Mus musculus: one gene and its partners. The protein of the gene in region 7 purifies or fractionates together with the protein of the main gene of each other region. This does not show direct contact. Links are inferred from orthologs where the notes say so. Each region holds a gene or a part of one and is shown on either strand. Other genes may lie near its edges. The genes, in order: Copg2, Copb1, Nudcd1, Copz1, Copg1, Arcn1 and Copa.

Region 1 (4,795 bases), on a different chromosome or scaffold from region 7:
TATAAATACCTATAGAGATACATATATTGTCTATGAAATAAAATTCTATTTTCTAAGGTTCTAAATGTTTTTGAGATTGTATTTACAGTTTGAGGCAAAAGCAAATAGGAAAATTAATAGCAATAATAGAACACAGAATTTTTTAAATATATGTTTTTGGTTTTGTCTGTTATAACTCTAGTACCTAGAACAGTTCATAAGACACAACAGGTATGCAGTAAAACTCACTGAGTTACAATGGAAAGTATTTCTGAATACAAATATGCCTAGCACTATGATAACTGTTTATAGCTAGTATTTCACTTAACTATAAAGCTTAAAACATTGGTATTATAACCTCATTTACATCATGAGGCACATAATGGTTAAATTACTTGTCTAGAATCATATTGACAGTATTAGTGTAATAACTGATACTAATATAAAACCTGAACATTAAGACAAAAATTTCAACATTTCACTATCATGCCAAATAAATAAGCAAAAAAAAATCTTGAAATATATTCTAACTTTACATTGTATTTTCAAAGGATCTCAAAATACATGCAAGCTGCTGTTGGCACAGCAGTTACAAACACTTGTTACTCTACAGAGGACCCAGGTTTGATTCCCAGAACCCACAGAGTGGTTCCAAGTAACTCTAGTCTCAGGTGACCTGATGCCCTCTTCTGACCTCTGTGAACCAAGAGCACACACATGGTGTGCACATACATACATGCAGGTAAAACATGCATACACATAAAATAAATAAATAAATCTTTTTAAAAAATACTAAAAATAAATACATGTAACAAGTATGTTCTAAGTAGTATTTGTTGAATTCAAATCAACATATCTATTGAAATGTACATGTTTAGTTGGTCTAATACCTCATGAATTTAAACAAGGAATATAGGCTCAGTCCTTGTATTAAAGAACTTTCACACATTATTGTTCTAATCACACACTGTGGATTTTCAAATTACATGATTTTCTTTTTTAAACAATTCTGCTTTTCAGTAAGTTCTTCACTGTAGGTTATATATTTCTATCTTAATACACAAATCGAAGGAAATCAGAATAGTTTACCTGGTTGAGTAAGTAAAGAATCTTTGTCAAGATATGCAAGCATCTTCTTGGATTGATGGGCGTTTCGTTGAATATGCGTGCCTACAGAAATATGCAAAACAGTATGCTGTATATTGTGTATGTTCTATCACAGAGGATATCAAATCATCTTTAGTAGCATTAACAATATGTTAGTACAATATCCAAGTAATGCAGGTTGTCTATGCTCTCAAGGTAGTATGACGTACAATAAATTACCAGACATTATCTGCTTTCCTGGCTATATTTTATTCCTTTAGGTTGACAACTTCAACTTTAAAGACTTGACCAGAGTCTCTGTCTACATATGAATGCCTCGAGTTTAATATCTGTAAGCTCTTCTAATAACCTTGCACTTACCACTCCTGACATGTCATTAAAATCCCCCAGCACACGACAGAGTCTATATGTCTGTACGTTTCTATAGTCCCAGCCTCTCCCTTGTCCTCTACTCCACAATCTCTGCACTGCTACACTCCGTTGTCACTTTTAATATAGAAATAAAAAAGGGATTTCTAGTTTTGATCAAATGTGGGGGAAGACCGATATTCAGACTGTCAGGTGGGTCTACGGTCCTTCACTGTTTTTTTGGCTGTCCTGACTTTTGTACTTCCTAGGTTCTTTGCCCATTATTCTCAAACAGAATTGATAAGGCACTGTACACATCCAAGCCATACCTCCTGCAAGACAGCACTCTTCTCCAAATGCTGGAAAGGATTGGAACCACTACCTATAGTATAAGAAAAAGAGAAGGTCTTCAATAGCTGGACTACAAAGACTTTTCTAAAGGAGGATATTGCATGCTTGGAAATCTCACCTAAACAGAATGATCCCTTGGAAGTCACAAGGACAACTATTACTAATATGCAAAGAAGTTGGATGAAGTAATTTTGATTCTGGTTCAAATTCTGTCATTGCCATACTGAGATATCTTGGACTTCTCCTGATATAGGAACCCTATCCAAAATGAGTGCCTTCATTCCCTGCTTCCCCCTCCCCCATCCCATGGATGTTAACAAATGTGTCGGTTTCCACCACCACCAAGAGTAATGAGATGACAGGACACTATGGATTTCCCTAAAAGCAAGCCCTATTTTATGTGTTTCACACATTTACTGAAGCAGAAAGGAACAGTTTCGCAGAGAGTCACAGATGTAAAGGCCATGCAGGATGAGGCCATGAAGGTCCACTAACCCAACCTTCCACCACACTTGTGAGAGCAGCTACCACTGAAGAGCTGAAGATTTTTTTTTTTTTTTTTGAAGAGGCTTGGCATCTTCCCCACTTGCACTGCACCACAGACAGGTATCAACACGCAAGTCACTTCTGGATGCCTGAGCATTCAATGAGCTGTGTCCCACCGGGCAGTCTTAACCCCTGGGAACAGGAGAATCAAGGCCCTTCAGAGTCCATAAACACGCAACCCTGGCCCGGTCGACCCCAGCTCCCAAAACAGGGGGTGCTCGCCCTGGGGCCTAACCCCACCAGCAACCCCAGGGTACCGAGACTTGCGCGCGCACCTCCTCGCCCCCCGACAGGGCCCCACGGAGGGCCGGCTCGGAGGGGCTCGATCGGGGGGCGGGCGCGGGGGGCGGGGACGCGCCGGGGCGGAGCCGCCGAGCGCTCGAGGCGACTCCCGGCCAGGAGCGCGCGGCCCGAGGGGAGGCCCCGGCGCCGGGGGAGGGGCTTCGGGCAGACCCCGCCGCTGCGGCCGCCCCCCAGAGCAGGTGGCTGCGGGCGAGGGAAGGGGGGAAACCCTTGCGCCTGAGAGTGGGCGTCCGGAGCGCCGCGCGTACCAGACTCCTCGTCCTTCTTGTCGAATTTTTTAATCATCTTGGACGGCTTCCCAGCGCCCAGACCCACCGCAACCGTCCCAGGCGCCGCAGCCGGCGAGCGGAAGACGCTGCAGGAAGGCAGGCCCTGGGTTCTCGCACCGGTTGGGCCGGCGGGCCGTCACTCGGGGCCAAGGCCCGCCCCCCTCGGGCCTCCGCGGCCGCCCTTGCCCCCTAGGGACGCAGGCACGCCCCCTGCTCCGCCCACTGCCGCACGGGGGCGTGGCCAGAATCTGCCCGGAGGCTCACCACGCCCCGCTTCACAAACTCTGCAAGCCAGGTCTGAGACAACAAACAGGGAACTTTATTTGGTTAGTGACTTCTCCAGGCCCCCTCAGTTCTTGGAGAGTGAGGAGTGGGGCTTTAAGTCTTTGTCTTCACCAAATGACAGCCGCATCTTTGACAATCCACTGCTGGGCCCTTCCATGGCGAAAGAAGCTCTCCCCTGGCACACTTCTTGTAGGCTTCTCTTCTAGGAGCTTTGAAAATGTCAGGGGTTCCCAAAATACTTGCGAAGTTGGTGTTTCACTCTCTGACTTCATGGAAACTACGACAAAGCATAGGACACGTTGAATGTGCGACTCTGAGAGCACTAGAAGCGTACTAAAAGGAAGGCGTGATGTGATCCATTTGAGGAGACCGAAAAGCTGGTCTTAATTTAACTTTCCAAGAGGGTAGATTTGGGGACTGCCATTCCCAACTTCTTATGATTCCTTCTTCACCCAAACCAGTGTAGTTTTCTTGGCTTTCACCATTTTCAAATGATTCAATCTGCATAACACTCAAGTAATTTAAGGGATACTCATGTGTCTCAGTGCTTTTCCAAATGTTTTCTCTTTTTTTTTTTTTTTTTTTGTCCTCGTCTCAGAGTATGAAAAACACGCTTTTAATGCCTTGGGCATCGAAGACATCACATTTCTAGAAGGTCTTTCCAGCTTCACCTGTTCTTAGGGCGTTGACTACTTTAAGATCTTAATGACAGTCCTTCCTCCGTTGAGGGCGTGGTTTGCCTCTTGGGCAACCTTCTAACCAAACTTGACAACTTCTACTCAGATCTCTCTCTCTCTCTCTCTCTCTCTCTCTCCCTCTCTCTCTCTCTCTCTCTCTCTCTCTCTCACACACACACACACACACACACACACACACACAAATGATAGGGCATCATTTGGGGGACAGAGATGTTAGCTTAGAAATGGCACCACTAGTAAAACACCCTGGCAGCTTTGTTATTGTTGAGGAAATGCACCATAACTGTCTGTTCATTTTAGGTACAAAAGTAAAGCACTCATATTTGGAGAGGGCATATGTAGTCGCCATAAATGACACTAGAGCTGAAGGCTGACATATTACTTTATACATGAAGATCTATCTCATCCTGACAGGGCTTAGAAAAGGTCCTACCTAGATTATGCTACATACCCTTAAGAAAAATTTCAAACTGGGCATGATAGCACACACGCTTTTAATCCCAGAAGGCAGATCTCTGAGTTCAAGACCAGCCTGGTCTACACAGCAAATTCCAGAACAGCCAGGGCTATACAGAGAAACCTTGTCTTGAAAAAACAAAAAGAAAAAGAAAAAATTCCCATCATATATAGATTCCGCTGAATAATGTGCCCAAACCTTAGTAATGGTGCCACTTAAAATGTTACTCCATCCCGATTAAAAATACTATGCTAGGGACTGGAGAGATGGCCCAGTAATTAAGAGAATTTATTGCTCTTGCAGAGGACCTGAGTTCAATTCCCAGCACTCACGTGGTGGCTGACAAACCATCAGTAACTCTAGTTCCAGGTGATCCGATGCCCTCTCCTCTGATCTCTGTGGGCGCCGTAAGTGGTAAGCGGATATACACACAAGCAAACCACTCATACATA
Region 2 (4,075 bases), on a different chromosome or scaffold from region 7:
TTCTATGTTCAGTTGTGGTACCCCAAAATGAGTGACTCTCGGTGTAAGAAGCTAGGATTAGCGGCTGGATAGCAGTTAAGAGCACAAGCTTGTCTTCCAGAGGACCAGGGTTTAGTCCCTAGCACCCACGTGATTGCTTACAAACTGTAATTGTGGTTCCAGTGGATATGATGCCCTCTTCTGGTCTCCCAAGAGCACTACATGCATATGATCCACAGACACACATTCTGGGAGAGACACCAATACACACAAAATATAAAATAATTTTAAAGAAAGAAGGAGCTGGGATTAGGCCAGGAAGATGAGTCAGAAAGTGGAAACCTTTACCACCCAAGCATGACAACCTGAGTTAGGTCTCTGGAACTCATGATGGAGAGAAACTTAGCCTGAAAGTTGACCTCCGTGTCCATGCTGTAACATATGTGCCCATGCTTACTTACACATATAAACACAAGGTAGTTAAATTTTAAAAAGACAGCTTGAATCCAAGTAAATGTTGATAGTTGTAGTGAAAATTGAGAAATCAAAAGAGACTCATTTATATTTCACATTTGCTTATAGTTAAAAGTGCTTAATTTTTCTAGAGTTTTGCTAAATATTTTTTATAAGTTATGTATGCTTGTATGTGAATATGTGTACATTAGTGCAGGTCCTCTCGGTAAGAAGAAGGTATGTCTAATCCCCTGGAACTGGAGTTCTTGGTGGTTGTGTGCTGCCCGATGTGGGGGTTAGGGACAGAGCTCGGGACTTTTTTTTACGTACCTTAACCTGTAAGCCATTGATCTCCAGCCTCCCCTCTAGAATTTTTGAGAATGTCTTTAGTAGACCTTTTATCTTAAGAAAAAGGAATTTTTTTTCCCTTTAGACTTGTAGAATTGGTTTATAGAAATAGGATAATAGCCCAGCCTAATAAAGCTAAAGAAATAAAATCATTTAATTACTTGTTCTTCAAAACACTATAATTTCTTGCATAGTTTAATGTATGATACTTAAATATATCTGGCAATTTTCTGTAGGTAATAAGTCAGTATAAGCAAACAAATGAAGTTAATACAAAAGTAAACATGAACATCCCCTACATGTTTATATTTTCATCTTGAAAACATTTTTGCAAAAGAAACATATATGTTTGAAGTTTGAAAACTCATGCTCTGCTCCTTTAAAGTATATAAGGGCCATTATGTACTTGGAATTCCAACTGTTCAGAGGGCTGAAACAGTGGGTCACATTTTTAAAACTAGTCTGGGCAGCTTAGGCCCCTGTCCTGGTGAAGTGCTAGGGGCTATGGACATGTTAACTATATAGTACTTGCCAAGTACTCAGGAGGCTCTGAATTCAGTACACAGCACTAAGAAGGAAAGCGGTGTGCTGTGTGATTTTACAGGATGGGGTTGAGGCCAGGGCGTACTGTGTAGCCCTGCCTAGAGCTGGCCTTGAGCTGAGGATTGACCTGTTCTAACTTCTCATGTGCTAAGCTAGAAGGTACTCAGTGTCTGCTTCCCTGTGGTATAGCTCTAGGTTCAGGAGCTCTACGTTAACTCAGTTGGTTAGAGACCAGAAGTCTAATCCAGTACTATCAGATCATATATAAGGTATCTGAGATTCAGAGACAAAATAGAGTCACAGACATGTTGTTTGGATTTGTAACCTTGTTACCACAGCTGATAGTAAATTTAGTTTGTTTTATTTTAAACTATCTGAGGAACTTAGTTTTGAAATAATTGTGTTTGTTTTTGTTTTGTTTTGTTTTGTTTTGTTTTTTAATTATTGAATCAGAGAAAGGCGATGTGAAGTCAAAGACTGAAGCTTTGAAGAAAGTGATCATTATGATTCTGAATGGGGAAAAGCTTCCCGGACTCCTGATGACAATCATTCGCTTCGTGCTGCCTCTTCAGGATCACACCATCAAAAAGTTGCTCCTGGTCTTCTGGGAGATTGTTCCTAAAACAACTCCAGATGGAAGGCTCTTACATGAAATGATTCTTGTGTGTGATGCATACAGAAAGGTAAACCAAACCATAACTATTGGCTTTGTTGATTTGTAATTATAAAATTGCTGTAATAGATACTATTAGTTTTCAAAATTAAATGTTTGATGAAATGAAAAAAATTACAATACTTATTATTGAAGTTGTAAACTCAAAAGCTTAGACTGCCTGAAGCTGGGCCTAGCTGTTAATGCTGCCCAACATAAAAACCTAATATATTATCAAATACTTTTTGGTGGATTTGGGGGCGGATTTTTATTTGGTTTTGTTTTTCTTTGTAACTATTGCATAAGTCTCAGAGTAAACTTCGTAGATGACAACATCTTACCATAATATTAAAAGATTGGACATGCTTGTAAAATTTATTGTTTAAAAAATTATTTTGGGGCTAGAGAGATGGCTCAGTGGTTAAGAACACAGACTGCTTTTCCGAAGACCCTGAGTTCAAATCCCAGCAACCACATGGTAGCTTACAACCATCAGCAATGAGATCTGACACCCTCTTCTGATGTGTCTGAAGACAGCTACAGTGTACTTATATATAATAATAAATAAATCTTTGGGCCAGAGTGAGTGGGGCCAACCAGGGCGAGCAGAGGTCCTCAATTCAATCCCCAGCAACCACATGATGGCTCACAACCAACTAACTGTACAGCTACAGTGTACTCATATACATAAAAATTAATAAGTAAATCTTTAAAAAAATTATTTTGTTGCCTTTTCCAACATTTTCTGTGTATTTTATGTTATTAAAAGATAGTAGTGAAATGAGTAAAAATTGTTTTAATCAAGAGGAATCAGAAGGAAATCAGTAATCTAGGTCTTTTTCCTAAATCTAACTTTAACTTTTTTCAAATTAGAAATTTTACATTTAAAATTTGATTTTTATAAAACGTTGAAACTTAAGTCTGTGAGATGGCTCAGCAGGTAAAGAGAGTTTGACTCCCAGGATCCACTGATTCCTGCAAGTTGTCCTTTGACCTCCACGGTGTGTGTGAGTGTACACACACATGCATACACGAATAAGTAAATGTAAGGTTTTTTAAAGTTGAAACTCAACATTTCTTGCTGTAATTTTTATATCAGGATCTCCAGCACCCCAATGAGTTTATTCGTGGATCTACTCTTCGTTTCCTTTGCAAATTGAAGGAAGCAGAATTGCTGGAACCTTTAATGCCTGCTATCCGTGCGTGCTTGGAACATCGTCACAGCTATGTTAGGAGAAATGCTGTTTTGGCCATCTATACCATCTACAGGTAAGGGAGGATCTATACCATCTACAGGTAAGGGAGGATCTATACCATCTACAGGTAAGGGAGGATCCTCCTTTGCTTTACTTCTGTTTTCAGTGCTTTAGAGTAGAGGTTCCAGTGTGGTTGGTTACAGAATGTATGCACTTGTAGATATGTTTTACTAATCAATACAGTATTTTTTCTCTTACTGTCATTACATTGTTACCATGGAGAAGTCAAAAACGATCTGGCATCAGTGAGCCCTAGTTTCCGCATGACAACAGTCAGCTTGAATGGCACAGTGCCACTTAAGATTATTGTATGCTTTCTAGTTTAAGACCATAACCATTATTCCTAATTGTATTGCTGCAGTTCACTCAGTTCATTTATTCACTTGCTAAAGGCATTACAATTTTTTACCTTGTTTAAAATTCTCATTTTGAACAGTGTGGGTCTTGTCTTACAGGCTATAAAGAAGTATGCTTTTAGTGAAAAGAGCTGTGATTCTTAACTGATTCTTAACAGCAGTTGATAATTTGCTGGGCCAGTGGTGTGTCGTCTAAGTTCAGCTTCTAGGGAAACCTAAGTCAGGAGGATGATGGGTTTGAGGCCAGTCTGAGCAACTTAATGAGTCTCTAAGTAGAAAAGGGTTGGGGATGTGGCTCAGTGGGTATTTGTTTAGCAGGAACAAGGCTTTGGGACAGTCATTAGAGTAAAGTAATAAAGCTGGAGATGTGGAAATTTAAAACAATTGTGAAGTTCAGAGGAGGCTAGATTACTAAATTGCTAAATCATGGCTGTCAGTCCATTTAGAAGTAGATTATGGGGCAGTGGTAGATAAAGCTCAGTAGCAGA
Region 3 (4,075 bases), on a different chromosome or scaffold from region 7:
AAGATGAGATTCGATCTCAGGTTTTAAAAAATAACTATATTTGCTAATATCTCCATATTTTTACAGAAGCCGGTGTTCTCTAATCCTGTAGCTTCGTCTATCCACAGCTTTTACAGATTCATAATCTACTGAATACATTTCCAGTATCCTTTAAAAATAAAACTTCATAAAAGGTATTCTCATTTATCATGCTAAAACTTATCAAGTTATAGTACAACTGTTCAGCCCTCCAGGTACCACTGGATACTTTTTAGACAAATGTTGGAGGATTAATTCTCCGTATTTACTCTTATTAAAAAGAGGTTTTTGGTAGTGAGAACAAATAATCTCTCATTTGTTGCCTGAAAGCCTAAAATAGGATCATTGGTTTCTAGGCTTGCTACCTGCTGCTTAGCAACTTGCCCCACATGCCTGCCTTCCTTCCTGTTGTACAGCACAGTGGACATGGGGGTGGGCTGCCGATAGATGAATACTCGGCGAAGGCACTCACAAAGGGCTGCATACGAGTAGTTTGGAGCACATGCAAAAAATTTCTTGTCTCTCTTTGAGGCTTGGACGTAACCTGCCAAAATACAAGAGAAAAAAAAAAAAAAAACCTGTCAAACTAAAGTGAGAAAAATCAAGATTTAACACTTAGTATCCCATGGTATCTATCACACATTTAAATACTTATGTAATACATATACTATTAACAGTCAACAATGGTTGAATTCAGCACCATTAACAGTGAGTCACAATTTCTTCTCAGAGGCATAAAAATAGAACTTTAATTCCTAAGGCACAAGCAAGCCTCCTGCTCTTCAACAAAAGCACACCATACTTCTGTTTAATCTCTACGAAATAAGATAATAACAATCTTAAGTCTTAAATACCAAATACATAAGAGCTTTAATGCCTAGTTAAAAAAAATAACCCTAGGAATACAATGACAACTTAAAAGAATTAAAAAAAAGACAAACAACAAAACAAAAACAAATGAAGAAGGCACTAGATTATACAAAGGCTTTTCTCCCATGCCCATGGATTTATTGTGAAAATAAGCTATATGAGTGAAAGTGGTTTACAGTTTAAAAAAAAAATCCTCATATAAATTCTAATGATATTCTTTGGAGAAATGGATAATACAATCCTGAAATTCATATGGAAACACAAAAGACCCTCAACAGCCAAGGAAATCCTAAGCAGAAAGTAATGGGTGGAGGTTATTATGGTAGTGATTGATCTCAAGCCATACTACAGAGCCACAAGATCGAAGGCAGCATAGTACAGGCACAGAAACGGACATACAGACAAATGGAATGGTGTGAAGTGGGATTTCTCCACCTCTGGTGTGAGTGAGACACTTTTGGGAGAGGAGTGACCCTTTCACAGGGTTCAGCTAAGAGCATGAGCAAACAGAAACACTGTCGCTAACAAACATTAGAAATCCTACAGCCTTTGTAAGGAGTCCTGCTGGGAAACGGGATATCCACATGGAGAAGAATCAATTCAAAGTCGATCAAAAACTTTTAAGACCTGCAATTCTGAAACCAGTAGAGAAAACGAGTGGTAACAAGTGACAAGCAAAAGAAGGACTTAGTGGGGAAGACTACAGCAGTTCAAGGAATAAACCAAACTCACATACTGAATTGTGCGAAAATAAAAGGTAATGTGCAGCAAGAAAGCAAGGAATGCTGAGAAGACACAGCCTACAGAATGTGAGACTATCTGTGCTATCTGTTTCTGAGAAATCATTGTATCCAGAATAAAGAACTCACTGAATTACAACAAACCAAACAATCCAGTGTATAAATGGATGATGACATGAAGAGGTAGCTATCAAGATGAAGCACAAATATCTCATACATATAGAAAAAAATGTTCAGCATGTTTAATGTGAAAATTCAAATTAGATCTATAATGAGATTCTGCCTGAGTTACTCAGGATGGCTGTTACTGAGGAAACAAAGGACAATGAATGTTGAGAATAGTGTGGGGAAAGAAGAGCACTCACTCAGTACTGATGGGAGTGTGCACTGGTACAGACAAGAAGGAAATTAGGACAACTGGAAACGTACAACCACCATCTGATGCAGTTTTACCTGGTCATAAAATGGAAGTAACCAAAGATGCCTGCACCCAGCATAACACTATTTACAGAAGTAAAGACATAGAATTAGCTTAGATGCCCATTAACAGATGAATACATAGAGGAAATGTGACACACACTCACATATTCACGTGGAAAGAACAAAATTATACACCACAAGGAAATGGATGGGAATGGACATTACCATGTTAAATGATATCAGCCAGGCTCAGACAAATACTTCATGTTTTCATTCACATACAGACTCTACATATTAACACACACACACACCCCACACACACCCACAGACATACACATATGTGTAAGTACAGAAAGATACAAAAAGGTGTTTAAAAAATAGATGACATTGTAGAGAGCGGAAGAATAAGGAAGAAGACAAAAAATCATTTTTCTCATGCAAGCTAGATTTAAATGCATACATGAATATTTATATATTTTGCATATATGTTTATATATACTCTATAAAGTGAGCAAAGTCATGAGGCACAAGCAGGCCAACACTGCTTGTAAAATATTAGGTGAAGATATAGAGATCTATTTGAGTAGATGAACATTAACTGTACAAGAAACTCCAACAATAATGTATGTAACTCAAGTACTAGCTAATATAAAATTGATTTAACTTAGGATGAAGCATGGCAGTTCATTTCCAAGACCATTTTGACATGGAATTGAAGAGTCTTAGCATGTAAAAGCAACCTGGAAGAACTTTCCTCTTCCTTAAGGAAAGAAGATAATTACAAAATAGCAATTACAGTAGAGGACAGAAATTGTGTGGTTAATTAATCTATCAAACCTCTTACTATTTCATTTTATAGAAATCCACTTAAGAGCCTGAGTGAGGCCATTTAGTTATAAGCGCTAAGTGACAAATTTCCTCAATAATTAAGAATTGTACACACACAGCCTTTAAAACCCACAATTCTACATTTTGCTGCCAGTTTAAAAAAAGCTTTAAATAAAGCAATAACTGTAGCTAATTCATCTAGTACAACTCCTACACAATATTACATAAAATCAATGATGGCATAGTCTATAGTTATATATACTTTAAAGTTTTTTCAAGGGGTAGTTTCAAAACAAGTATTTTCCTCTTTAGCAAATAAATTCAATTTGTGCTTGACCTTTTCATGACTGTTTGATTATCATGGCCTCTTGTTTACTCTGTGGCTTAGACTCTTGCTACATTAACTCTGGCTAGCCCCAGATGTGTCTGTGCATCCTGCCTCATCACTCGGGTGGTGGGAATGCAGGTGTGCACCGCCAGGCTTGGCTTCCTTGACACTTAAGTTCAATGACCTATGTCTTCCAAAGGGGGGGGGGGCATTACTGTACAGCAACTGCATGAGTTTTTGAAGAGACTTACATACAAGTTGTGAGTACAGCAAAGTCAACGCTCCTACTAATACTGACTTAAAAGAAACAACTGATTAGAAATATCCCATGCCAGGCGTGGTGGCGCACACCTTTAATCCCAGTACTTGGGAGGCAGAGGCAGGCACATTTCTGAGTTCAAGGCCAGCCTGGTCTACAGAGTGAGTTCCAGGGCAGCCAGGGCTACACAGAGAAACCCTGTCTCAAAAAAACCAAAAAAAAAGAAAAGAAATATTCCAATGGTTATATTGTCACTTCCATGTTCATCCTGCGTTATCTTCTGTGCAACTGGAAGAACATGTTCATCTTTCTAGTCTAACAGTTTAACAGGACACAGAAGAGCAAACCACAGCAAGACCCAATCCATGGAACGATCAACGTAATGTAATCAATGGAGGGCTCCAATTAAAAAGTTTTAAGATGATGACTACTTGGGCAGACTGCAAATGCTACTGTAGAGAATGCTGTCTACCTAGGGCATTGAAGGTGGCAATGTGCTCCCACATGTCGTCCTGCTTGCTGCAGTGTGGTTGCCAGAGGAGAGCATCGACATCATGGCGTAGACAGAAGCACGGCATTTCTTTAGGATCCACAATGACTGAGAACAGGTAC
Region 4 (4,593 bases), on a different chromosome or scaffold from region 7:
TGTCCAAAGACAGTTACAGTGTACTTATATATAATAATAAATTAATCTTTAGACCAGGGGGAAAAAAAAGACTATGTAAAGAGACCTTGTCTCAAAAGATAAATGTGATAATGATGATGGTGGTGGTGGTGGTGGTGGTGGTGGTGGTGGTGGTGGTGGTGATGGTGGTGGTGATGGTGGGCACAGAAACAAACAACATTAATCCTAGTACTCAGGAGCCAGAGGAGAATCCTTATGCATTTAAACCACCCTGATCTACACAGCAAGATCCAAGCAAGGCAGGACTACATAATGACACCCAGTTTCCAAAAAAAAAAAAAAAATCATTAAATAAAGTTGGAAAGAACATAGGGGAAAAAAAAAGACAACAGTTTAATCGTCAAGAACTTTAAAAATCAGCACAAAAACTAATACCTGTAGGTTTGGTTTGTTTGTTTATTGAGACAGGGTCTCTCTCTACATAGCTTTGACTGTCTGGGAACTTGCTAAGTAGACCAGGCTCACTTCAGACTCTCAGACATCCACCTGCCTGTGCCAACCAAACACTGAGATTAAAGGTGGGAGCCACAATCCATAGCTCCCTGTAGGTATTTTACCATCAACAAAAACTTTATACAACCCATGGCTGAAAGGAAAATTCTGCAAACTGAAGAGGTGCAAGAACCTACAGAAACCTCAGAAACCTGGTGACTCTGGGATAAGACAAATTCAAACCCAGCCCAAGCTACATAATGAGACTGTCTCAAAAAAAAAAAAAAAAAAAAAATTTGTTCTGAGAGAACAAGGAAACAAAACTGGAACGGGGTTTTGGCACTGCCCTTCCTTAGAAAGAGCCTTTTCCTACAGCTCTGCTTCCCTAAACCCAGTACATTAAGGTGCTAGTGACAAAGGCTCAGTATAGTTTTAAAAGTAAAGGTGAGGGATATGCAGGCAAGTTAGCAAGGGTCTGTTACTACATGCAGCTGGTTAGCTCAGCTGCAAGGGGGAACAATGAGGAAGAAGCAGGCTGAGAGATACCACACAGTGCAAGAAAGAGAGAAAATGACACAGAGATTTCCCCATACAACCTCAGCTCTCCTAGTGCTGGGGTCAAACACAGGGCTTTTAAAGATAGCTAGACCATATGCTCTTAGCATTTACACCCAGCCCAACAGAACCAATGGGAAAGGAGTTCCCCAAGTACCATTTTCCTCACTCTTTAAGCTGGTTCCACTAAATTACATTAATTTTGGTTTTATGAGACGAGGTCTTATTTTGTAACCCAGGCTGGCCTCAAACTAGCAACAATATAGCCTCAGCCTGAGTGCTGGGGTTACAGGTGTGAGCAACCACACCTGATTAAGAAGACCAAAAACATCCAAGGAAACTAGTTTCACAGACTCTATCCACATCGTCACAAGATTTTTAAAAACTCATTGACCGGTATAGTAAATACTTGAACTACTCAATACATTAAACATTTTGCTTCAACTTGTCCAACACATATGATGAGAATAAATTCTCTTTGACATTTGCAAGAAGGAAAGTAAGGAGGTTTGAACAGATAGGTCAGTGGTTAAAGTGCTTGTCATACAAATAAGAAAACCAAAGTTCAAATTCCCACATAAATGCCAGGTGAGTATAGATGTCTGCCCTGGCTACGTGGCAAAGTTGATTCCAGTCAGACCTACATGAAACTCTCAGTGAGAAAACTAAAACAAGTTGATGTGGTGGCACATACCTCTAGTCTCCGAATTTGGAGGGTAGAGGTAGGTGGTCCTCTGTGAGTCTGAGGCCAACATGGCTTACATAATGAGTAGCTAGGGCATCAGGAAAGGGAAAGGTAGAGAGGGACCCTGTCTCAAAAAACTTTTTTTCCTTTAAAGAAAGAAAGAAGAAAAAGCTTTTTTTCTTTTACTGACAAGAGTTTGATATGTACACTTACAAGGAATATAAATGAAAACAGGAGCTAAGGAAGACTCTTAGAAACAATCCTGGAGTCCAACTAAAGGAAAGAAGCTGGGAGTTAAATTCCTACACTAACACACAGACACAGGTAGGCAGACTCATGGGTCTCTAAACTGCTGGCCAGTGTCTTGAAAGAAATGCTCTGATCCTGTTCTAGGGGGCAGAACAAGCAGAAAGGATCAAGGGACAAGAGAGTTAAATGCACTTCTATAATCACAATTCTCATGTAAGCAAGAAGGCTGAAATGGATCTTACAGTATGAGTTCCTAAAGTCTGAAGGAGGGGAGAGTAGGAGAGAAGAATAAGGAGTCAGAAAAAGATATTCCAAAATCTATACTAGCTCTACCAAGTATTCCTGAACCTGGATGGAATGCTGACTCTCAATCATGACAGAATTACATACTAAGGATTAACAGGAAAATAAAAACAAGTTTTGTAAAGGAACAGGACATGGAATTGCCAAAAGGTAGTCGAATTCTGACCACCACCAGGAGGATCTGGGACTGACAAAACACCTCTCTTCTGCCATTGCAACTTGGGGGACTAGAATATGAGGGTTTGGGGAAACTCAAGTAGGTATGATCCACAACAAAAACCATCGGGGAGAACTTGAAAGACACCCCTCCAGCGCAATCAGAATTCTCCTAAGGACCCTGCATGTTCTCTTCAACTTTGCCACCGACTCCTGCTCTCTTGCCGGCAAGGCTTCCTACTCTATACCGCGGCTCTAGCTCCCATTGTAGGCCACACTTGCATTGCACAGATAGCGGGAGCTTTGGCCCCCGAGGCCTGCCCGGAACCCTCTCCCGGCCCCAGCTGATGAGCCCCACCTCCCGGACCCCCTGGACACCACAACGGAGCCACTGGCCCTCCAGCTCCTACCAAAATCAGCGCCTCCATCTTGCCCGTAGCTGCTGCCGACGTGGAGTCGCACAAGCGACGTCACCGCTGATTGGCCCTGAGTCTTCGCTAGGTCCCGCCTCAAAGAGGCAACATTGGGTGAAGATGAGCCAGCCTTCGCGTCTTGACCAGTCAGCGTAGTCACTCGCTTCACGGAAGCCAACTGTCCAGCCAGAAGAGGCAGCTGTTAGATTGTCACCCGGAATTTTCAATGAAAGGCCAAAACCTCAGCACTGAAGGGGCGGGAGGATCATTGAGGGCGGTGTTGTTTCCATGGGGAACGGAGGAAGCGATTGTTACTTTGCTATTGGTAGGAGGAAGCCACGTGATTCTGTCAGCCTCCAATTCGCACTCGCTATAGGGGGTGCTATGTGTAGCCCTTAACATTAGCCTTGCTGAGAAGCCCTACCCGAATACAGATTCCCATCGCCACCATTAGGATATCCACAGCTGTAGTGTCCTTGGGTCATTTCAACAACCTCGGAAAGTTCACCAAGTTAGCTATAGGCAGCCAAGCGTTAACTACACAAACCAAGGTCTCGAGAAGTATATCCCAGGATATACACGTGTGGCATGCACACATACCCAATAAATATATATTTTTTTAAGATTTATTTATTTCATTTATATGAGTACACCGTAGCTGTCTTCAGACACACCAGAAGAGGGCATCAGATCTCATTACAGCTGGTTGTGAGACACCATGTGGTTGCTGGGAATTGAACCCAGGACCTCTGGAAGAGAAAGCACCCAATGTTCTTAACCACTGAGCAATCTCTCCAGACCACCCCCCTCAATATTTTTAATGTAATTTACTTAAAAAAAAAAAAAAAACTGTGGGGACTGGAGATATGGCTCGGTAGTTAAGAGCTCATATTCGATGGGCAGTGGTGGCACATGTTTTTAATCCCAGCACTTGGGAGGCAGAGACAGGCGGATTTCTGAGTTTGAGGCCAGCCTGGTCTACAAAGTGAGTTCCAGGACAGCCAGGGCTATTTAGAGAAGCCCTGTCTCGAAAACAAAAACAAAAAAAAAGAGCTCATACTCTTCGTGTGGAAGACCTGAGTTCAGTTGCCAGCTCCTATGCCCCGTTGCTCAGCTTCAGAGAATCTGCTGCCCACTGCCCACTTTCTGTCTGGGAGTTGAGTACAGGAGACCTGCACTTTGATGGACAACGTTTTCCCACTTTGGTTCAATTTGAAATAGGATATCAAGGCATTGGAGATTAGAGCGAATGGAAAGAAAGCTATCAGCTTCTGACCCCCAGAACAATAAGAGTTACAAGGCCAGAGATCATTAGCCTTTGACCTCCATCTTATGCTGTGTCCCACCTCAGTACCTGACCCTACCAGGGCTGGCCCCCCTACACCTCTCCGTGATCTCTGCATCAGTTCCTACCTCCAGGTTCCTGCCCTGCCTGAGTTCCTGTAGTTCCTGTCCTAACTTCCTTCAATGATGAACAGCCATAGGGAAGTGTAAGCCAAATAAACTCTTTTCTCCCTAACTTACTTTTTTGGCCATAGTGCTTCATCACAGCAATAGAAACCCTAAAGTCAGTATATCTGTGCACCCTTTACATACCTGGTACCTGTGGAGGCCAGAAAATGATATCAGATCCCATTGAACTGGAGTTGCAATGGGATTGTGAGCTGCTATTTGGGTTCTGGGAATCAAACCCGGGTACTCTGGAAGAGCAGCCATAGTTGTTAAAGGATGAATCCTCTCTCCTGTCCCAGTGGCGGGCAT
Region 5 (4,075 bases), on a different chromosome or scaffold from region 7:
TTCTGGACAAGTGCTTTTAGCCAGCCCAACCTTTTAATTTTCCTCCGAGATTTCTTACCCACAGTTCTCCTCTATGTTTATGATCTGACTGCTGCAGTTACCTTAGTTGAGGGAAATCGTGAAGTGCTCATCTTTTTCTGTCTCCTTTATTCTCAGGTTCCATCTGTATCATAGCATGTATCAGGACTTTCTGCTTTTCAATGCTGAGTAGTATTCCTTTAGTGAAGAGGCTACGTTTTGTGTACACCATGCTGTGGCCCTTGTGACAGGTGCTTCTGCAATCTGTCCTGTTGCTGATACCGAGCACTGGAGTTACCGATCAGATAATTCTGTCCTTGGTGTTGTGAGGAACCGCCATGTTGTTTTCCCAGCCTTGTGTGCTACCCACTCCATTTTTTCATATCTCCGTTCTGTGTGGAGAATAATCTCCCATAGCCGGGCTTTCTGTTTCATGTCAGTGGGTCTGGTAGGGCTATAGCACGCAGGAGTAAAGGAAGAGAGCAGTAAAGTGCATAATGTAAGTGTATACACAGCATCCCACAGGAGTAAGTGGGAAAGCCTGGGGGAAGGAGCAGTCATTGGAGACCCTTGTTGACAGCCTGTCTCCTGCTAGCTGAGACTTGGCAGTTGGCCGTTCCCACTACACGAGTTTTTACATCGTGAGATGAGCTGTAGGGGGTCTTTTGCTTTGGGACTGCTTTGCTTAGCTGTCTTCAGGGACACTTCGTTTTAACATCACATGATTTACTCTGCGGTCCCCAAAGGTGCTGTTTGCACTCCTGGACTGTACTGCTGTTCTCCTTTCCTTTTATCACAGGACAGACGACAATCATCCCTGGACAAGGGGTCTTGGAAGACAAAACATGATTGGGTGTGAGGCCAGAACAGAGTTAGGGAGCAGCCCTTCCCTTCCTCCAGAGCCAGCTTAAACAGCACACGACAGTTCACTAGTGTAATGTGTGTTACACTCAGTAGAGGAAATGGGGTCTAAAATGTTTCCATTAATCTTTCTCCTGTTAGAATTAGAAGGCCAAGCCTTTTGTTTTATCCAACAGAGACTGGAACCAAGGCTTCTGCTTCCAGGCTGCCTATGGAGCGTTGTTCCCTGGGCCTGCCTGAGCTGTAGGCCTGCGTTGGTCTCCTGAGGATGTGAGATCTTTGCTCAGCTAGACCCTTCTCTCTGCAGGGTGGCTTTGAGTACAAGCGTGCCATTGTGGACTGCATCATCAGCATCATCGAGGAGAACTCAGAGAGCAAGGAGACAGGATTGTCACACCTGTGCGAGTTCATTGAGGACTGCGAGTTCACTGTGCTGGCCACCCGCATCCTGCACCTGTTGGGCCAGGAGGGGCCCAAGACCAACAACCCTTCCAAGTACATTCGCTTTATCTACAACCGTGTGGTCTTGGAGCATGAAGAAGTTCGGGCAGGTATATCTGAGCTGGGGTGACCCTGGCCTCTTAGCTTCTTTTGCAGTGAATTTGCCCAGTAATGGGACCTAAGCTCTCAGGGGGACAAGCACACTGGGAACATGGCCTTATAAGCTGTTTTTTACATTGTCAGAAGGATTTTAGATGCCAAATGGATAAATGATTTTTTTAAAATTTAATTTTTTTTTAAATTTCATTGTATATTCGTACTTAAGAGTTTTTTGTTTTTATTTTTTGAGATAGGGTCTTATTCTATAGCCAAGCTGGTTCATACTTGAAACCGTACTGCTTCAGCCTTCTGTGTGCTGGAATCCTAAGTATGTACCACCATACCTGGAGAGAGAACACACACCACAAGATTTATCTTTTTTTATAAGTCAGTGATCTAACAGTCTACCATTTTGGTTTTTTTTTTTAAAGATTTATTTATTTCAATTATATGAGTACACTGTAGCTGTCTCAGACACACCAGAAGAGGCCATCAGATCCTATTACAGATGGTTGTGAGCCACCATGTGGTTGCTGGGAATTGAACTCAGGACCTCTGGAAGAATAAGCAGCCAGTGCTCTTACCCGCTGAGCCATCTGTCCAGCCCTACCATCTTGTTTTTAACTTCATCTTATTTTCCATTTTTACTTCTATTCCCTTGTAGGCAAATTTTCTTCTTTTAGTAGTTAGTCGTAAGTGATGGTTTATTTTCTCATGTTTTACTCTCAAGCTTAGCTACAAAGGAAGCTGCTCAGAAGTAGCTAACAGTGTTGATAATGCCTGTCGCCTTATTCATTTGAAAGTTGTCCCTAAAGCCCTAGAACAAGAGCCACATGTGTGTCACCCTTTCTCCAGTGACTGGAGGAGGAATTAGAGACCTGGGTAGCACCAAGATCCACTAGGATTACACAGGATCTGTTCTGTGATTGTGTCAGCGGTGCCACCCCCTAGCGCTTCTGCGTGGATTCCCACTCTGAACACTGGTGGGCAGCCTCGGCACTCTGGCAGGTGGGCCTGAGGGGCTGCGGGTGAGTCATATTTACCTTGGAACTAGGTGCAGTAAGTGCTCTGGCCAAGTTTGGAGCTCAGAACGAAGAGATGTTGCCTAGTATCTTGGTGTTGCTGAAGAGGTGAGTCTCAGCTCAGAAGCCAGAGTGCATAGCAGTGCTCCCTTGGGTCCAGTCCACCTTTTATTCACAATTCTCTATATAGCCCTGGCCATCCTGGAATTTTCTCTGTAGACCAAGATGGCCTCAAACTCACAGAGATCCTCCTGCCTTTGACTCCCAAGTGCTGGAATCAAAGGTGCAAGGCACCATATCCAACGAAGATTTAATTATGTTTATCTTATTTGTGTGGGTGTTTTGCCTGCATGTATATTTGTGCACTTTTTGTGGTATTTAGTACCTGCTGAGTCCAGAAGTGTACTCCTCTAAGCTCAAGGGTACCTCTGTGTTTTGCCTTTTTTGGCTTGCCTATGGTGCTGGGTGATATCTTTACTAGAGAGCTGTCTACCACTGAGCTGCATCAGCCCCTTGTATGTTATAGTGTTGAGCTTTAGAGCTTTGCCTTGCCCTGCCATCCCTGTACAGTCCTGCAGGGTCCCTCTGACCCCCTGGCTAGGCTCAGTCAGGAGTGCCTTGTGTCCTGGCTGCAGGTGTGTGATGGACGACGACAATGAAGTGAGAGACAGAGCCACCTTCTATCTGAACGTTCTGGAACAGAAGCAGAAGGCTCTCAACGCAGGTTACATCCTAAATGGTAAGTTGTCCCTGGCCACCAGGGCCTTCCTGTGGCCTTAGAGAAGGCGTGCTGTCCCTGAGCCAAGGCACCCAAGACCATTCATGCTTCACTAGAGTTGTATAGCAGTCTCTTGGATTGATATAACCTCAGAAGACCCAGGGCTGCATGGCTTGATCCAGTCAATGGAAATAACCAAGTAAATTAAGTGCTCTTTGTGTGTTACTCTGGCTTGAACTCAGGACTTGCATATGCTTGCCAAGTCTCCACCACTGTGCTGTATCCTCAGTCCAAAACTTTGTTGTTTTGAGATAGTATCTCTTTATGTAGCTAAAGCTGGCCTGGAATTCATGACAATCCCCTCAGGTCAATGTCCAGAGTGCAAAACAGTCATTAATAAAAATCTTTAAGCCTGGTATGTTGGTTTCTGTCTTCGTACCAGCACTTAACTTATTTCGTATTTACCTACCTGCCAACCCTGGAAGGAGGAAGAGGATAGGGAGGGAGTAAAGCTTGCAGGTTCCATGACTGTCAGCATCAGCACATCTACCAGTCATGGTAGGAGTCCCAGGCCTCTGTCCTCCCTAGGCACGCCATGCCTCTCTGTCGTGCCAGCCAGGCAGAATAACTCTCTACTGACTTTAGGTCTGACCGTGTCCATCCCTGGTCTGGAGAAAGCCCTGCAGCAGTACACACTCGAACCATCAGAGAAGCCATTTGACCTCAAGTCTGTGCCTCTGGCCACCACGCCTATGGCAGAGCAGAGACCAGGTAAGGCCCTGCTCATCCCCAGGGCCCGTCTGTTTCCCTGGACTGTAGAGTGTGCAAGGATAGGCTGATATACTGCACAGGGAGTAGCCCCAAGTGGGTAGGGACAGCCATGCTGACAGCTTGCTCTTTTCCTTGCACGCTTCTC
Region 6 (4,075 bases), on a different chromosome or scaffold from region 7:
AACAAGGCCATCACAATTCAGCTTTAGAAAAAGAGTAGAACTATTTCTTGGCCTTTGGGCTAAGATCAAGAGTATGGAAGAATAGAAATACAGCTGACCGCCGCCAGGCAGTGGTGGAGCACGCCTTTAATTATAGTGCTTGGGAGGCAGAGGCAGGCAGATTTCTGAGTTTAAGGCCAGTCTGGTCTACAGAGTGAGTTCCAGGACAGAGAAACCTTGTCTTGAAAAACCAAACAAAAAAAAAAAAAAAAAAAAGAAGAAGAAGAAGAAGAAGAAGAAGAAGAAGAAGAAGAAGAAGAAGAAGAAGAAGAAGAAAAGTACAGCTGACCAACAAATCTATAGCATCCTACATAAAACTACACACTGGTGGCTCAAAACCACTGTACTTCCAGCTCCAGGGACCTGATGACTTCTTCTGGCCTTCACAGGCACCTATTAATAGGTGGCATACATTCATTCAAACACACATATACTTTTAAAAAATTAAAACGATTAATTCAAATATACAAAGTAATAGCATCAATTCCACTTTGCCAAAAAGAACTTGCTATGGTAATGAAGGTAAGAGAATACCCATCACAGCTTGGTGTGGTGGCGCACGCCTTTAATCCCAGCACTCGGGAGGCAGAGGCAGGAGGATTTCTGAGTTCGAGGCCAGCCTGGTCTACAAAATGAGTTCCAGGACAGCCAGGGCTACACAGAGAAACCCTGTCTCAAAAAATCACACACACAAAAAAAAGAACAAAAAAAAAAACCATCACAGATACCTACTTGTCAACGGAATAAAAGATTCCTCTGTTGTTTGTAGTCTCCACTTTAGTACCCCTACATCACTGTTGACTGGAAATGACTTCTCTGGGTTTTTCAAGCCAATGAGAGACTCTGCAGTAAAAAGTTTTTTATCCACATTTGGATGCGTCTGGAATGAGAAAAGAAGCCTGAAGTTCAGAGTGACAAGTAAAGGGGCCAGGCAAGACGGCTCAGTAGGTAAAGGCTCTTGCTTCTAAGCAATAACCTGAGCTGGGACCCCAAAAGAGAACCAACACTGGAAAGTTACCCTCTGCCCTCTGTGCATATGACACGGCACATGCATGCCCATATAGACATATATACACACAGATACAACACAGATACACACAGAATAAATAAATACACTGAAATTAAAAAAGAAGAAAGAAGCTGAAAATGTAGCTCAGTCGACAAAGAACTTGCCTAGCATATATGGGGCTCTGGATTCAACTGCCTACAGTCCTAGCACTCTGAAGTTAGAGAATCAGACAATTAGAAGTTCAAGGTCATACTCTGTTACATAGTGAGTCTGAGGCCAGCCTGACCTATGTGAGACCTTGTCTCAACTATTGCACATCAAGGGAGGGAGGGAGGGAGAGAGGGAGAGGAAGACTAACAGGAAATAAACCCCTCTGGGTTTACATGGTGGATAAATAGGGTTCCTAATAAATTATATATATATTAAATTTTGTGGAAAGATTTGCCTTCTATAGAGACTTAAGATTTTATACCATCTTTAAAAAAAAGGTGGCTAAGGCTATAGTTGAGCCTTGCTCGAACAAAAGCCTGTATTCAACTTCAAAGTACTGCAAAAATCAAACAGAACACCCAGAACAGGAACCATGCTAGTACTCAGTATAAAAAGCCTCTGCATACCTGTAGCTGCACCCCTTTCTTATCTTCATTTTCTACATGAAGACGAATCCGGCCAAATTTGTCATCTGAGATCCTAAGCATGATCATGCCATGCAACTCCATATTCTGTAATCCTCCATCTCTCCCACAGGTTAGTGTGATCTTCTCTTCAATCTTCATGTGCACACTATAGAACAAAAGTCAATCAGTATGTCAGGAAAGTAGGAACCAGGCTGGAGATGGGAGTTATGTTGGCAGTGTATGTCTAGCATCATGGAGCACTGAGTGACCCGCAGCGCCACATGAAACCAGGTATAATGGTACTGCCTCACTCGGTGTGTGTACTTGGGAGGTAGGATTGGGAAGCGAATCAGGAGGACTTCAGGCTATCTTTGGCTCATAGTGAGCTGAAGGTCAGTATGAACCACAAGAGACCCTGCCCTTAAAAAGAAAGAGAAGGGGCTAGAAAGATGGCTCAGCTGTTAGAACACATACTACTATGAATACCAGGTAGCAGTGAGAAAAAAATAAAGAAAACCTTCAACATGAAAATCATATTAAGTAGTCATGGAAGCCATGGAGCTAAAGCAGGAGGATTCCCACAAACCTCAGCATGGGTTCCTACAGTGAGTGCCATGATTCAAGAAAGAAGGAAACAAAGAGAGAAAGAAGACAGTAATGTCTAAACTTACATTGTAAGCAAATTTAAAAAACATAAGCCGAGTGTAGTAGTATACCTTTTAAATCCCAGCGCTTAGGAGGCAGATGAGGTGGATCTCTGTGAGTTCAAGGCCAGCCTGTTCTACATAGCAAGTTCTATGCACTGTTTGTCTCAAAACCAAAAAACCCACGTTTTTGTTTTTTTCTTTTTTCCGAGACAGAGTTCCTCTGTATAGCCCTGGCTGTCCTGGAACTCACTTTGTAGACCAGGCTGGCCTTGAACTCAAAAATCTGCCTGCCTCTGCCTCCCGAGTGCTGGGATACCACGGCCGGCTTTTTTTTTTTTTTTTTTTCCCTGTATTTTTTAAAAGAGGAATTTCAACATAGATACTCTGTAAAAGTAGACAATACTTCCCCTAGAAGATATGTTTTATTAAAGAAAATCTCTGTGCCAGGTATGAGATATAAGGCCTCCAAACAACACAAGCTATTGTCTCTGCTCTTGTCTGCGCACCCTAACTAGATGCTAAAACGACTGTTGAAGATACAACTCACTTTGCTTTCAGGACATAGGGAAATTGGTGGATCTGACCTGGAAACTTCTTCCCTGTTGGCTAGCTTTCAGTGCTGGAAGATAGATCCTATGCAGCCACTGGGGAGGAAAGATAAATGGCCTTACCAAAAAGTACTAACCCTGAATCCTGTACTAGTGTCCTTCCAGGCAAGGTAGGACCAATGGTGCAACAGGGGCAAGTAGGTTAGAGGAGGAGAACCTACTGCTTTCTGGTTTGATCTGAGGCCTACACTTCACAAGAAAGATTTCAGTATGTAAGCCTAGTTAAAGTCCATGGTTTGGGATGTCACAGGCCTTAGTGGAAAACTTACTGTTATTTTGCTAAATGGGTATATCACTACACTGTTTCCTAAATATTTATGTTTATACACAGATTAGCATTGCTCCCAATCTTGCCCAGTATAGATATACAGCTTATAAATATTATAACTGAGTTGTGTGTTCTTTTCACAGGCTCACTGGGGTTGGAAATTTACTACAACAAAGCACTATTTACTATTTACTCATTATCTATAATTTAACGGAAAAATGCAACTGGAAATTATATCTAATTGTGGTGGTTTGAATGAGAATGGCCTCCAAAGCCCATTGAATATTTGGTTCCCAGCTGGTGGAATGTTTTAGGAAGAATTAGGAGGTTTAGCCTTTTTGGAGGTGTGACCTTAGTTGGAGGAGGTGTGTCTGGGGGTTGGCTTTGAGGGTTCAGAAGCCCACATCAAGCCTAGGCTCTTTCTCTTTGTCTGCTGTCTGAGGATCAGAAGGTAAGCTCTCTACGACTGCTCTAGTACCATGCCTGCCTGCCACAATGCTCCTGTCAATGATGATTATAAACTAACTCCAAAACTATGAGAACTCACAATTAAATGCTTTCTTGTCCTGATCATGGTGGGTTTGTTTTTTTTTTTAATAGCACTAGAACACAACTAAGATATAAATATATGTCTGCTTTGTATAAAGATTTTTAAGAGGGCTGGTGAGATGGCTCAGTGGGCAAGAGCATCCGACTGCTCTTGCGAAGGTCTGGAGTTCAAATCCCAGCAACCACATGGTGGCTCACAACCATCTGTTACAGATCTGACGCCCTCTTCTGGTGTGTCTGAAGACAGCTACAGTGTACTTACATATAAAAAATAAATAAATAAATCTTTAAAAAAAAAAAAGTGGGGGTGGGTGGGTAAGGGGGACTTTTGGTATAGC
Region 7 (4,075 bases):
GCTCTTGACCACTGAGCCATCTCTCTAGCCCCCTACCTCCTACTCCCTTTTGGTTTTTCAAGACGGTTGTTTCTCTGTGTAGCCCTGACTGTCCTGGAAGTTGCTCTATAGACCAGGCTGTCCTCAACCAGACACTACCGCATGGCTCAAATCCCTTTTTAAAAAGTACACAGTGGCTGGGCGGTGGTGGCATACGCCTTTAATCCCAGCACTCGGGAGGCAGAGGCAGGTGGATTTCTGAGTTTGAGGCCAGTCTGGTCCCAGGACAGCCAGGGCTATACAGAGAAACCCTGTCTTGAAAAAAACCAAAAAAAAAAAAAAAAAAAAGTACACAGTGTGAAGCATTTTTGCTGTAGCTATAGAAAACAGATACAATAGCTAAATACATTCCATTAAAAAAATTTTTTTTATTAGGTATTTTCCTCGTTTACATTTTCAATGCTATCCCAAAAGTCCGCCATACCCCCCCCCCTAAATACATTCCTAAACTCACAGTTTTTAAAAACCTTTTCCAAATAGTTTTCTGTCACTCATCTCCCTGGTCTTCCTTCTCTTTCTTGAACCCAGGACCTCATACAAACTAGGAAAGCAGCCTGTGACAGCACAGTCTCCCTTTTCTCACTCATGTTCACGTTCTTGAATACCCACTATAAGCCTGTAGGCCACCACTGTCATCGTCCTCCCTTCCCTTGACTTTTTATTCAAGGCATCTTCAAACACACATCACTTTCTATACTTAGAGTTTACAGACCATCTCCCTTAAAGCTCCACTAAGGCAGGCAGTATTTATGCACTGCTCTGACACCAGCATAAAGAGCATGGGCTGATATTTTATTATGTATTTGACAAATGAATGAAGTAGACTTGGCTTCTACGTTCTCACTCTGAGAACTCTAAATGTTCACTATTAGTCTCCTATGAGCTCCTAAAAGCACATCACAGAGAATGAGCTTAAGGTCAAACAGAGCTTCATGGTGAAGATCACTAAAGAGCTCCATCTCCCAAAAGTAAGAGATGAGAATGAGAAAAGCTTCCGGTAGGTGGCTCTGAAAACTCTGCTTCTCTTTGTTTTCCTATTACCACTTATAAGAGACAAAGCTAAGGAAGAATCACTTTGAAATCTACAAACTTTCAACTAAATCCCAGGAGCGAGAAGAAGAAATGGTCCTTACCTGCTGCAAAGAGGTTAAGGTTGGGATGGGCAGCCAGGACCCAGAAGCGATCATGATCCCTACGGAAAGTCTGAACCCCAGTCCTAGAAAACCAAAAGGTACAGAAGAAACCGTTAATCAAGGCTCTTCAGTACAGCATGCACAAGGAAAGTGAGTAGCAGGCCTGGAAGATGACTTTACAAGTGCACTGGAGACAGGGAATGCTGTGCACTCAGCTAAGGATCAGGACCACACCCACAAGGAACACAGTGGGAGGGAAGGCTTCACACTAACCCAGGCCTAGGCAGGCCAGTTTCTCCCTTGTCTCTCCTAATGTACTTTTAGTTCACATTTCTACCTCTTTAGCTGAACAATGAAGGGAAGAAAAAAATATACTCAAATTTAGAGGAGAAAAAGAATACAGGGAGATTTGTACCTAAAAAATATTGTTGCTATTTTAGTCTCTAAGGGTTTTTGCTGTTGCTTGCTTATTTATTTATTTACTGCTTTACAGCAGTGTGGATTACATTTATGGCCTCATGCATGACAGGCAAGCACTTTAACCACTAAGCAATACAGCCTTAGAACTTCAGAACACAGGACTTGGTTTTTCATCATGCTGAAGAGAAAAAGAAGTATTCTAATTTTTTCCTTTCCTTTTACAGATATTAATATTGCATAAGGAGTGTGTGTGTGTGTGTATGTGTGTGTGCGCGCACGCACGCGCGAAGACAAAGGATAAGACAAAGAAAGGGTCCTTCTCTTGGGTTTGGTCACATGACATAAATAATTCCCTTACCGCTTAGACATATCCCAGACTCGAATACTCTTGTCTTCAGAATTGCTGAGGATCAACTCTTGGCGAGGGTGAAAAACAGCACAAGACACATTGTTGTAATGGCCCCGGCAGGTGTCAACCTCCCATGCCTTTGATTCTGAAGAACAAAAGGAATTGTTATCACAATTCTCTGTAATAACTCTGGGATCTATAAATCCAACACCCATTCTTTAAAAAAAAAAAAAAGATTTTAGTTGTGTTTTTAGTTTTGTGTGTATTTATCTGTATGTGGTTTTTTGCATCTGAGTGTAGTATCTGTGGAGGCCAGAAGGCAGCCCTTGGGCCCCTGGAGCTGAAGTAACAGATGTCTGTGAGCTGCCTGACATAGGTGCTAGGAACCAAACTCAGCCCTCTGTGGGTCCACTGAGCCATCTCTAGCCCCAGCTTTTTGAGGAGACAAGGTTTTGCTATATGGCTCAGGACGGCCTTGTGCTTGTGATCCTCCTGCCTCAGCCATGCATGCTGATACTGCAAGACTATACCATCATGTACATGCATGCTGATACTGCAAGGCTATACCATCATGTACATGCATGCTGACACTACAAGGCTATACCGTCATGTTGACACTGCAAGGCTATACTGTCATGTATATGCATGCTGACACTGCAAGGCTATACTGTCATGTACATGCATGCTGACACTGCAAGGCTATACCGTCATGCTGATACTGCAAGGCTGTACTGTCATGTACATGCATGCTGACTCTGCAAGGCTATATCGTCATGCTGATAGACATTGCAAAGCTATACTGTCATGGACAGCTGTGATGATGCTCTTTAAATGCAAGTGCTAAGTACTATTGCAAAATGCTAAATCAATTTTCCCCAAATGGGACAATGTTTTTCATGTAAGTTTCTTCCTCTTTATTTTATGTTTATTTTTTTTAGTTACTTGAACCTTTTTTTGCGGGGGGGGGGGGGTGTCAAGACAAGGTTTTGCTGTTGCTCAGGCTACCTTTGACCTCCTAGGAATTGTACTACCTCAGCCTCTTTTTTTTTTTTAGGAAATCTTTTTTTTTTAAATTAATTAATTTATTTATTATATGTAAAGTACACTGTAGCTGTCTTCAGACAGCACCAGAAGAGGGCATCGGATCTCATTACGGGTGGTTGTGAGCCACCATGTGGTTGCTGGGATTTGAACTTCCGACCTTCGGAAGAGCAGTCGGGTGCTCTTACCCACTGAGCCATCTCACCAGCCCCTACCTCAGCCTCTTGAGTAGCCACAGCTACCTCAGCTCCAAAATTCCTGTTTTTCTGTACATCTCTGTTCTTTTATTATGTACCTCTACTGACTGTAACAGCTATATTAAATAATTCTTTATGCTTCTACTCTTATTTTATCCACATAGTATATGTATTACTTGCTGATTCTGAGAACAAATATAAACTCTATATCATGGAAATTTTGAGTCACAATAATATAAATATGGCCCTAAACACAGTCTAAAACAAAGCAGCTACTCACAATTTGTCACATGAACTTTTACTCTTGACTATGCTCATATCTCTCAAAATCAAGATACTGCCATGAGGGGTGTGGAGGGGAGGAAGAGACAATGATCATGCACTTAGGAATAGCAGTAAATAATCAACTAAGGCCTAAGGCAGAAAAATAGGCCAAAGTCCAGAAAACCTGGCTACTTCCCCTTGCTGGCTGGCTGCCACTTTCTTGGCTATGGCAACATCGCCAGTACCTTACTCACCATTCATACGCCAGATCTTCACTTGCCGGTCATCTGCCCCAGATACAATAAGGGGCATAGTCGGGTGGAAGGCAGCCCAGTTGACTCCACGGTCATGACCCTGTTAAAAAGAGAAAAAGTGGGTCTTCTACAACAGCTGTAAAAACACAATTCAAAGAAAACCATGCTAGTGTTTATAACAAAATGTGTCTGTTTCTTTTTCTGTGATACGGGCAATCAAAGTCAGGGCCTTACAGGTGCTGAAGTCAGTACTCTATCACTGATCTATTTCCTCAGCCTCTGAAATACTCAAGGCAAAAGACTTAAGAGATTGTGCCACTGTAGAGATCATTTGTTGATATTTTATTTTCATTTGACTTTTTTTTTTTTTGTAACAAA

What was found.
Region 1: the proteins of Copa (region 7) and Copg2 fractionate together in Homo sapiens (co-fractionation; 4 studies listed by BioGRID and IntAct, with this or other methods). This does not show direct contact. The link is inferred for Mus musculus from reciprocal best matches to the Homo sapiens genes COPA and COPG2.
Region 2: the proteins of Copa (region 7) and Copb1 fractionate together in Homo sapiens (co-fractionation; 6 studies listed by BioGRID and IntAct, with this or other methods). This does not show direct contact. The link is inferred for Mus musculus from reciprocal best matches to the Homo sapiens genes COPA and COPB1.
Region 3: the proteins of Copa (region 7) and Nudcd1 purify together in Homo sapiens (co-immunoprecipitation; 3 studies listed by BioGRID and IntAct, with this or other methods). This does not show direct contact. The link is inferred for Mus musculus from reciprocal best matches to the Homo sapiens genes COPA and NUDCD1.
Region 4: the proteins of Copa (region 7) and Copz1 fractionate together in Homo sapiens (co-fractionation; 6 studies listed by BioGRID and IntAct, with this or other methods). This does not show direct contact. The link is inferred for Mus musculus from reciprocal best matches to the Homo sapiens genes COPA and COPZ1.
Region 5: the proteins of Copa (region 7) and Copg1 purify together in Homo sapiens (affinity purification with mass spectrometry; 6 studies listed by BioGRID and IntAct, counting the BioPlex papers as one, with this or other methods). This does not show direct contact. The link is inferred for Mus musculus from reciprocal best matches to the Homo sapiens genes COPA and COPG1.
Region 6: the proteins of Copa (region 7) and Arcn1 fractionate together in Homo sapiens (co-fractionation; 4 studies listed by BioGRID and IntAct, with this or other methods). This does not show direct contact. The link is inferred for Mus musculus from reciprocal best matches to the Homo sapiens genes COPA and ARCN1.

Annotation. Positions count from the first base shown.
Region 1 is NC_000072.6:30,893,779-30,898,573, forward strand, and holds the start of Copg2 (coatomer subunit gamma-2), read right to left. Parts: upstream 3,017-4,795; 5' UTR 2,920-3,016; coding exon 2,883-2,919; intron 2,464-2,882; exon of another isoform or gene 2,281-2,463; intron 1,817-2,280; coding exon 1,764-1,816; intron 1,150-1,763; coding exon 1,069-1,149; intron 12-1,068; exon of another isoform or gene 1-11. Other genes in the region: Tsga13 (testis-specific gene 13 protein), read right to left, coding at 3,296-3,465. UniProt on the Homo sapiens protein: The coatomer is a cytosolic protein complex that binds to dilysine motifs and reversibly associates with Golgi non-clathrin-coated vesicles, which further mediate biosynthetic protein transport from the ER, via the Golgi up to the trans Golgi network.
Region 2 is NC_000073.6:114,247,977-114,252,051, reverse strand, and holds part of Copb1 (coatomer subunit beta), read left to right. Parts: intron 1-1,776; coding exon 1,777-2,006; intron 2,007-3,074; coding exon 3,075-3,244; intron 3,245-4,075. UniProt on the Homo sapiens protein: The coatomer is a cytosolic protein complex that binds to dilysine motifs and reversibly associates with Golgi non-clathrin-coated vesicles, which further mediate biosynthetic protein transport from the ER, via the Golgi up to the trans Golgi network.
Region 3 is NC_000081.6:44,376,125-44,380,199, forward strand, and holds part of Nudcd1 (nudC domain-containing protein 1), read right to left. Parts: coding exon 3,936-4,075; intron 563-3,935; coding exon 270-562; 3' UTR 1-269.
Region 4 is NC_000081.6:103,271,178-103,275,770, reverse strand, and holds the start of Copz1 (coatomer subunit zeta-1), read right to left. Parts: upstream 2,884-4,593; 5' UTR 2,848-2,883; coding exon 2,830-2,847; intron 1-2,829. UniProt on the Homo sapiens protein: The coatomer is a cytosolic protein complex that binds to dilysine motifs and reversibly associates with Golgi non-clathrin-coated vesicles, which further mediate biosynthetic protein transport from the ER, via the Golgi up to the trans Golgi network.
Region 5 is NC_000072.6:87,901,012-87,905,086, forward strand, and holds part of Copg1 (coatomer subunit gamma-1), read left to right. Parts: intron 1-1,186; coding exon 1,187-1,430; intron 1,431-2,473; coding exon 2,474-2,549; intron 2,550-3,076; coding exon 3,077-3,180; intron 3,181-3,804; coding exon 3,805-3,930; intron 3,931-4,075. UniProt on the Homo sapiens protein: The coatomer is a cytosolic protein complex that binds to dilysine motifs and reversibly associates with Golgi non-clathrin-coated vesicles, which further mediate biosynthetic protein transport from the ER, via the Golgi up to the trans Golgi network.
Region 6 is NC_000075.6:44,750,445-44,754,519, forward strand, and holds part of Arcn1 (coatomer subunit delta), read right to left. Parts: intron 1,832-4,075; coding exon 1,666-1,831; intron 920-1,665; coding exon 772-919; intron 1-771. UniProt on the Homo sapiens protein: Component of the coatomer, a cytosolic protein complex that binds to dilysine motifs and reversibly associates with Golgi non-clathrin-coated vesicles, which further mediate biosynthetic protein transport from the ER, via the Golgi up to the trans Golgi network.
Region 7 is NC_000067.6:172,099,390-172,103,464, reverse strand, and holds part of Copa (coatomer subunit alpha), read right to left. Parts: intron 3,798-4,075; coding exon 3,698-3,797; intron 2,087-3,697; coding exon 1,951-2,086; intron 1,256-1,950; coding exon 1,173-1,255; intron 1-1,172. UniProt on the Homo sapiens protein: The coatomer is a cytosolic protein complex that binds to dilysine motifs and reversibly associates with Golgi non-clathrin-coated vesicles, which further mediate biosynthetic protein transport from the ER, via the Golgi up to the trans Golgi network.